Arabidopsis thaliana: one gene and its partner. The protein of the gene in region 2 interacts with the protein of the main gene of each other region in a pairwise test. Each region holds a gene or a part of one and is shown on either strand. Other genes may lie near its edges.

Region 1 (4,710 bases), on a different chromosome or scaffold from region 2:
TGGTCTAGTGAGTATTGAAGTACTGAAGTAGTTATACATTGGAGAAAGTGAGAAAGTTGAATAAAAGAAAAGTAAAGTGAAAGACGATAAATTCTCCATCCTTGAGCTATTTCAAGTTTCAACTAGACAACTATTATCTTGGTTATATAATAAGGAACTATGAAGATTAAAAATTGAGAATTAGATTAGTACGATATCTTTGGTGATAGAGTTTATGTCCTATATTTTAGGAGTTTGTGTTTATATCTTGTTGAGTTCATTGTGAATAAATACTCATAGTTTGCGAATTAATGAAAGTAAGTCAGTTCAATATCTAATTCTACAGTATAACTTTTTACAGCATGAGAAAGCAGCGTGTTTTTGCGGTTTAAAATTGTTGTTCCGTGAGTTATATCAATGTTTTGATTAAAATCTTTCGAGGAGATAGTTTAATCTTTTTAGTTGTTGCGCGGTGCAGAATTGAACTGTAGAATTTCCTAATCAAGGAGCAATAATAAAAACCACAAAGAGTATTTATTGTTCAAGGACATTCTTAAATCAAAGTAGATTAATTAAAAGCTTGTAAGAGTTTTCTTTCTTCTACTTCTTGTTGATGCTGAGGATCTTGTCTCTAAGAAGCCTCCTCATGATTTTACCAGAGAGAGATTTAGGGATTGAATCCACAAAATGGACGGCTCTAACCTTCTTGTAATGAGCCACATTTGCTGCAACAAAGTTGAGAATGTCTTCTTCCTTTTCTGTCGCTTTCGGATTTATCACCACGCAAGCCGCCGGAATCTCCCCGGCTTCCTCGTCCGGTAACCTTTTCATTTCATGTTTTAATATATCAGTTTCAAGAAATCATTAGGGCAATATATTTATATAGATACTCACGGCACGACGGCAACGTCTTCAACGGATGGATGAGTGAGTAGAATAGCTTCAAGCTCGGCCGGAGCAACCTATTGGAAAAGCTTCAACTTTGAAAATCCGGCCAATATGAAACAAGGAAGAATTATGTTTAATCTTTGGTATAAACATTTTACCTGAAAACCTTTGTATTTAATAAGTTCTTTGATACGATCAACGATGAAGATGTCTCCATCATCATCGATGTAACCTATGTCTCCTGTGTGAAGCCAACCTTGTTCATCAATTGTCTTGTCAGTCTCTTCCTTGTTCATGAAGTAACCTTGCATTACACATTGGCTCCTCACACATAGCTCACCAGAAGTGTTCTTCGGGAGTGATCTACCGGTGTCAGGATCTATGAACTTTACCTCGAGATTCGGAAGTATGAAACCAACCGAGTTTCGTTTCGCGATTCCTTGTCCTTTCTCTGGATCTCCGTGAGTTAACGTAATGCAACTATGCTCCGTTAATCCATAAGCCTAATATATATATATATATATAACCAATCAAAACATCATTGAACATGAATAATAAGGTAATAACTAACATAAAAGTCTTAAGTCTTACCTCTTGGACTTGGACATTAGGAAACTTGGCTTCGAAGGCAGTAAGAAGCTCAGGAGCTAAAGGAGCAGCAGCAGTCATGACAGACTGAAGTTTAAGCTTCGAAAGATCAAACTCATCAACTATCGGATTCTTAACAAGATTCAATATAATCGGCGGAACTATAGGCGCAAACGAAACCTCATGAGCAATCAAAGCATTCAAGAAAATCCTTAGATCGTACCGACTCATAGCAACAACTTTGCCTTTATTCTTCATTGTAGCACAACATATGCCAACGATACCGTAAATATGAAAGAATGGGATCAAACCAAGCGTCACGATCTGACCGATCATTTCAGACCTGACACCGAAGAGAGTAGAGCAAAGATTGGCTATGAGATTGCGATGTGTGAGCATTACTCCTTTTTGTAATCCTGTTGTTCCTGAAGAAAAAGGAAGTGCACAAAGATCTGTCTGAAGAATCTCTTCATTGTCGGTATCTCCGCATTTGTCTCCTGCTTCTAGAAGATCTTTCCAGTTTACTGCTCCTTCTATCTTCTCTTCACCTAACACTATCACCGGTAAACCTAGTGATTTCACCTGTCCAAAACAAACAGTAAATGTTTCACAAATAAATCGAGTTTGGTGATTGGTTGGTTTAGTTCAGCTTGGCTGTGGAATTATGTCGGTTTGGTTTTTAGTCTATACCATATATTGCAGCAACCAAACCGAACGAAATTATCATGTGCATACATTTGCTGGTTAAAAAGTTTTCCAAATCATATAGAAAACAGTAATGTTTAATTACCTTTTCATAGTTAGTAGCATCAGTGATGATTCCTCTAGCACCGGAAGCTTCAACTTGCTTCTTGATCTCGGAAACAAGAGCCGTCGGATTTGCACCGGAGAAGACTCCACCGGCAGACATAATACCAAGGGCAATAATCCCATACTCGGCGACGTTTGGTAGGACCACAACCATCACTTGACCTTTCCTTAGTCCGAGAGATGTCAACGCTTTGGCTAGCCTCTTTGTGTCCCTCACTACATCACCGTACGTCACAGCTTTTCCGGTCACCGCTTCTACAAACGCTACATTCTCTGTGTATTCTTCAACTCCTTGGAGCACAAATTCAGGCTTTTTTCACATAGCCATTAGTTAATTCCATTAGTATTTATAAACCGAATCTTAACCTAAATTATAATAAACCGAAACCGGAAATGAAAAACTGTTCTTAGCTATATTAATTACCAGTGTAAGTTTGTCAGGAATGGGCACAGATGGATACAAACTGCGGAAAATGTATTCATTATCTTCTTGCTTTTGACTCTCCATTTTTAAACGAATTGAATTTGATTTATGTGTTAGGAACAGGGCCGGCTCTAGAGTGAATATAAATAGGAGAGTAGTTTCTTGTTCATGTCATGTCATGTGTGTGCAAACCAATTTTTGGTTATAGAAGAGGATGATAGTCTTTGACTCTCTTAGACATATTGTAGGTAGAGTTTTGTTGAGTCATGGAAATGATGTGAAAATATCTGAATTTATTATTTATGGAGTCCAATAAAAAAACATCTTCAAAAGTATTTTGTTCATACAAATTAATGTATTCTTTCTTAAACATTCTCTACTACGATCATATTACCGAGATTATAAATACAAAGTTTTCTTGTACTACTTATAAAAGAAACTATATTGTAATGTTTTATCAATGACTTTTAAAAGGTTAAGGTCTCATTTCTAAATGTCACGCGTACGTCATGATTCTAGAACGTGAAATATTGGATTTTCTCAACTTAGAAGCGAGAATGGATTATTCGATTTCACGTGAGTTGGCTTAAGGATTCAATTCCTTTGGAGATGCATGGTAGAAAAGGTTTGATCTAGATGAAATGTACGTAGAAAATGTGGTATGATTAGAATTTTGAATCTTACTTTATTCTTGATTTGGAAGATTTTATACAATGGTGGGGATTTAAGGGTTTAGGTCCTATAAATAGGTTGTGCAAAGTTCTTCAATACGAATTATTATTGTTATTGGCATGTTCATACTTTGATGATCTTAGAGTAAGGATCACAAAAACCTTAAATTAAACTACACCATATTTTTTATATTCTCATCTACATATATAGATTTAAATATTAGAAAAACATACTTTTAAAATGAGATAAATGACATACTTGTTACAATCATAACTTAAAAACTCATTGTGTCCCACTTCAAGAATCGTAAACTTCTCTCTCAAGAACATATATATTAATACTAAAGGTACACATACACAAATTCTTAGAACTTGCGCAGCAAGAAACAGACATGTGTACAACACATCCTTAGAATATTAAAACCTTTATTTTATATATGTTAAGTTTTACAATAACTTCACACAACAGACTTTTTCCACTCATTATCTCAGCAGAATTCATGGTTTTTTCCCGGAAAGTTACTCTTTTATTGATATAGATAGAGTCCAGATGAAGATGTTGAACATTATAATCAATGTCATGGAGATCATCTGGAGAACAATTGTTTCAACACTAATGCTCTTTTTCTTCTTGAGATATTTCAACAATCCTCTTCTTCTTTTCTTTTTCCTCTGTACGATTCTTTTCTTACTTATCATCGATCGTAATCGCTCTGTTTATGAAGAAACCGGAGATTTCTATGTTTTGTACACTTTTCAAGAAGACAATATGCTTGATGGTGAAATCATAGACAAGAACAGAGAATGTTGTGATTTCACAAGATATTACTATGATGATTGTTTTAGCTATTATGATGGTTTTGATGAAGTTGATAATGATGGTTGTATATGGAACGATGATGAAGATTTTAGCCAATGTAATCAAGATGGTGGTGATGATGGTATTGAAAACCGTGATGATGATGATAATCATGCCTATGGTGATGATGTTGATGATGACACATTGACGAGCAGGATTGAAGATTACATTGCAAACGTTTACAATGGATGGAGAGAAGAGAGACGAACCGACAAATTGTTTGTCTGATCTTTTCAAAACTCTGTTTTTCTCTCTGTAGTCTGTACATATGAAGAAATTGTTGTCGTGTGGTACATAAATTTGGTGTGTTAATGTGTTTCTTCAGCGCCGTTTATGACTGATGGATCTGCTATTTCATCGATCAATCAGTCGAATAAGGAGCGTGGTCTTTAAATTTCTTTGAACGTATGAACTTAACCAATCTGGAAGAATACTATTCAGGTGATAAATCATCGATTAGACAAGAAACAAATCTATATCAACATGAGAAC
Region 2 (4,084 bases):
TCTGGTTCCTCTGTGGTATCTTAATCCTAGTAAATTGCTATTCTGACCCTTATTGATGTAATTATGTTTAATGGTACACAGTGCTGCTATGGCTTCTGACGGCTGCTTGTATCAAAACTGGTCGACCTCAAATAGCAAGACGAGCAATTGAAGTAGCAGAGGCTAGGCTTCATAAGGACCACTGGCCTGAATACTATGATGGAAAGGTAGGGAGATACGTGGGGAAACAGTCGCGTAAAAACCAGACTTGGTCAGTCGCAGGATACTTAGTAGCCAAGATGATGCTGGAAGATCCGTCACATGTTGGTATGGTTTGTCTTGAGGAAGACAAACAGATGAAACCCGTTATGAGAAGATCCAACTCCTGGACTTGTTGAAAACGTTGGAAAGAGATGAGCTAAGAAGAACCTTCTTCGTGATTCCTGGCTTTAATGCTGATAACGACTCTTTTCTTCATTTTTCAATTGCAAATTTTACGTTGCTTGCTTTGTGAAATATTTTTAGACTATGAAAGATTTAAGCATCGTAAAAAATATTTCGTATGTTTAGCTTCATGTCTTTATTAAAGCATAAGGGGTTCTTTCTCGATCTGCAAGGTAAAAACTTATTGTTCAGACATCAAGGTTTCGAGCGATAATGCCTTCAAATGTAACACCAGGTCCAAAAGCAAGAATCAGACCCCACTCGTTTTCTTCTTCATTCATGTTCCTCACTTTCTTGCTCTCCTCCAACATATACTCCAGCACATAAACAATTGAATTGCTGCTCGCATTGCCATAGTCCATGAGAGCTCTTCTGCTTGGACTCAGCTTCTCAGGCGACAGGTTAAGCCGCTTTTCAATCCGGTTCAAGATGGCTGGTCCACCTGGATGAACCGCCCAGAACATCTGGTTATAGTTCTTATGAGCCAGTCCCGCTTTTCCTATTAGCTTCTTGCAGAAATTCTCCACATTGTCTTCTATTATCTGTGGAAGCTCTCTCGATAGCTTGAAGTTTATCCCTTGTTCTGTTAGCCTTCCATCTATCGTCTTCTCTGTTTCTGCGCCATGAAAATGAAAATCCATATTTATCCAAGAATAGTCTCAAGGTATAGACATAACTGGATGCATAAATCTTGTGGTCTTTTACCAGGTAAAAAGTTCTGTATTGCAGTATGAAGCTCAAAGAGAGGCTTCTCGCAGATCGGGTCTGGATCGGATCCAATGATCATAGCTCCGGCTCCATCACCAAACAACGCGACCCCAACAAGATCATACGGTCTATCCACACTTGGGGGCTTGAACCCAATGATGGTTGTCTCAGACGTGGCAAGCAAAACTCTACTGCCCGGATTATTCTCGGCGATGTCTTTGGCTACACGGAGACCTGCAACGCCACCAGAACAGCCAACAAAGTAGAGCAGAACACGGTGTGTGTCAGGACTGAGTCCAAGCCCCTTGGCCAGGTACAAGTCCCCACCAGGAAGACGAGCTTCGCTTGAGGAGACATAGACAACGTGAGTTATGTCGGAAATAGAACGTCCCCAGTTCTTGATGCAGGCTCTGGAGGCTTCTACTGCCATCTCGGTCACTGCATCGTTGCAGATGTCTAGACGCTGCGTCACTGTGGATCCTCCTTCAATGGCAAGTTCTGGGTACTTCTTGAGAATCTCCTCTGACATCACAACATACCTTGTCTTCACCGTTGTTGTCTTGCCTGTATATAGTAAACGAACAGTTCAAACAAACCTCAGTTGCTGTTGCAGGAGCTTACAGAATGAGATAAAAAGTTGAAAACAGAGGTTAAAATGAAGAGATTACAGAGACGAGTAAGTTTCTGTTTGAGTTCAGGGTCATCACACTTGGTGGTTTTGAAGTAGCCATCGACTAAGTACTCTTGCATTACTAGCTGGTGAGGAAAGGCTTTTCCCAGAGCAAGAATTGTGGCTTTTCCCGGGTTTGATTTCTTCTCTGAACCCAACACTGCAGCATCGATGCTTCCCATTTGTATCTGTTTGTTGAAGACTCAAATCTTGGGTCTGTAAATAAGGTTCAAAGTGAAGGCATATATATACACTGCAGCTTTTGCAGTTTTGTGACCTGCATATTGTGCGGTATTTCTGTCTAGTTGATATTTGGTGAAGAGTAGGTGTGAGATTTAGAAGCTTCATGTTTATTGCATTGGCTCTTTCTAAAATCCAACTCCAGTTCTTTGAGATTTTTTTCTTGATACATAGTCTTTAGGCTTAGTTAAAAGCCAACACAAAGGTGTGTTATAGTTATAGTTGTTTTGTACATCTTCACACTTAAAAAGAATGAAAGAGAAACTAACTAAATTTTTTCTTCTGTTAACATCAATCATTCGAAATTGATATTAAAGAATTATGACTCTGTTGTTGGGTATCAAATTTGCTGAGTTTCTACATGTATGATGGATCATCAATAGAAAGACAGCAAAAAGAAATAGAGGAACAAATGAGAAAAGGTGAAGAGTTGAAATTTCTGCTCAAACCTATTCCCTACCTACGCCCTTTGCTTGAATCTTCATATGCTTTCTTCGCCCAATGCACATACTGAACAGATGAAACTTAATACGTATGACTTGTTAGAGGTCTGAGAGACATTTCCCACTGATGAAGTCAATCACTTTGGTAAGTGACTCATCAAGTTTGGCAGTGACTGCAGCTAAGTTCTCCAAAAATTCTTCAGAAGTTGGTCTATTGCCATCCACAATATCAGTCACACCTTTTATTAGAATCGTAGGCACTTTAAAGATATCAGCCACATAGGCCACTGCTGCTCCCTGAAATGCCAAGAATCCGTAAATAAGTCGTAGTAACTGATAAAGACACAAAGACAAACACATAGTATGGAGCCAGGTACATCAACACAGGAAACTTATGGATTGTTGACCTCCATATCTTTAACTGTAGCATCATTTGCTGTGATGGATTCTTCGTCATGTGGAGACATATCCATAGAATCGCCAGTGGATAATCTTCCCACCTGGGAACATTGCAACTAAATCATAAATCTACCACTTATGCAAACCATATCAAGAAATAACCAAAATCTTGCATGAGGATCAAATGGTGAACTCAGAGCAACTAATAAAGTATACACCTTTAGGTTCAGCTCCTTTATAAGGTTGGGTGTGGGGAAGGTGTTCCGCATACCAACACCATATATATCAAGGACCTGCAGAAAGTATAAAAATGTTTAGGAAAGGGCAAAAATATATGGAATTAGAATGCAAGTATAACACTCAAGAACATCAGGTTTACTTTGCAACTCATACTGATACATGAACAATACAAAGGAGCACTTACAGGAACAGGTATTCTTCTGTCATGGAAAGCAACAGTAGAGACAACATAAACATCGCTAATACATGCTCCTTTGGCCTGAAAAGACCATTTAAAAACAAGGAAGGGTGTTCATTATTTCTGACACATAAGAGGCATGAAACGAGAACTATGTAGAGAAATTTGTAATGTTGATACCTTAAAGCCACCAGCGGTTCCCGCATTAATGATTAAGTCTGGTTGAATTGCTAGAATGGAAGCATAAGTCACGAGTGATGCAGGAACTGTGCCAACACTCTCAACCCCTGAAAAACGAATTAACATCAAGAACTTCACAAAACATCTTGAAACACTATTTCACTTACAATCACTTAACCACATGGATACACATACCAAGAGTTGAATCTTTTCCAGGACACACTATATTGATGTTCAAGTCTTTATACATTCCCTTAAACATAATCCAAGTCACCTCTTTTGGAAACCTACAAAAAAGCTATCACATTTGATTTCGAATCAAAATAAAAAATTGAAAGAGGTCAAAGAACTCACGGAGTATTAACTTCTTCAACGAGGCGTAATCTGTTGATCAGAGGCTGAGCTTCCTTTTGCATAGCTTTTAATACACAAACCCATTAGAAGAAGAAAAAAAAATCACAATTCGAGAAATAGTAAAGACAAAATAGTACCAACGATGAAGACGATGGTAGAAATCGGCCGTTTCTCTACCTGACCCATAACACCTTCCATAGCAGCGTCTGAGAATCCGTCGCCGGCGATTCGTCAAGATCAAATTTCTAG

What was found. The genes of interacting proteins can lie anywhere in the genome.
Region 1: the proteins of LAP5 (region 2) and ACOS5 interact in binary tests that used the Arabidopsis thaliana proteins (3 or more experiments, as listed by UniProt).

Annotation. Positions count from the first base shown.
Region 1 is NC_003070.9:23,308,617-23,313,326, reverse strand, and holds ACOS5 (acyl-CoA synthetase 5), read right to left. Parts: upstream 2,796-4,710; 5' UTR 2,774-2,795; coding exon 2,690-2,773; intron 2,576-2,689; coding exon 2,246-2,575; intron 2,038-2,245; coding exon 1,459-2,037; intron 1,371-1,458; coding exon 1,026-1,370; intron 942-1,025; coding exon 874-941; intron 803-873; coding exon 580-802; 3' UTR 532-579; downstream 1-531. Other genes in the region: AT1G62935 (uncharacterized protein), read left to right, coding at 3,917-4,447. UniProt on the Arabidopsis thaliana protein: Carboxylate--CoA ligase that may use 4-coumarate as substrate.
Region 2 is NC_003075.7:16,606,248-16,610,331, reverse strand, and holds LAP5 (Chalcone and stilbene synthase family protein), read right to left. Parts: upstream 2,129-4,084; 5' UTR 1,984-2,128; coding exon 1,800-1,983; exon of another isoform or gene 1,696-1,799; coding exon 1,129-1,695; intron 1,040-1,128; coding exon 612-1,039; 3' UTR 503-611; downstream 1-502. Other genes in the region: A/N-InvB (Plant neutral invertase family protein), read left to right, coding at 82-377; AT4G34840 (Phosphorylase superfamily protein), read right to left, coding at 2,584-2,781, 2,892-2,984, 3,102-3,176, 3,308-3,382, 3,482-3,588, 3,677-3,768, 3,836-3,899, 3,973-4,033. UniProt on the Arabidopsis thaliana protein: Plant type III polyketide synthases (PKSs) that catalyzes the condensation of malonyl-CoA units with various CoA ester starter molecules to generate a diverse array of natural products including long-chain alkyl alpha-pyrones.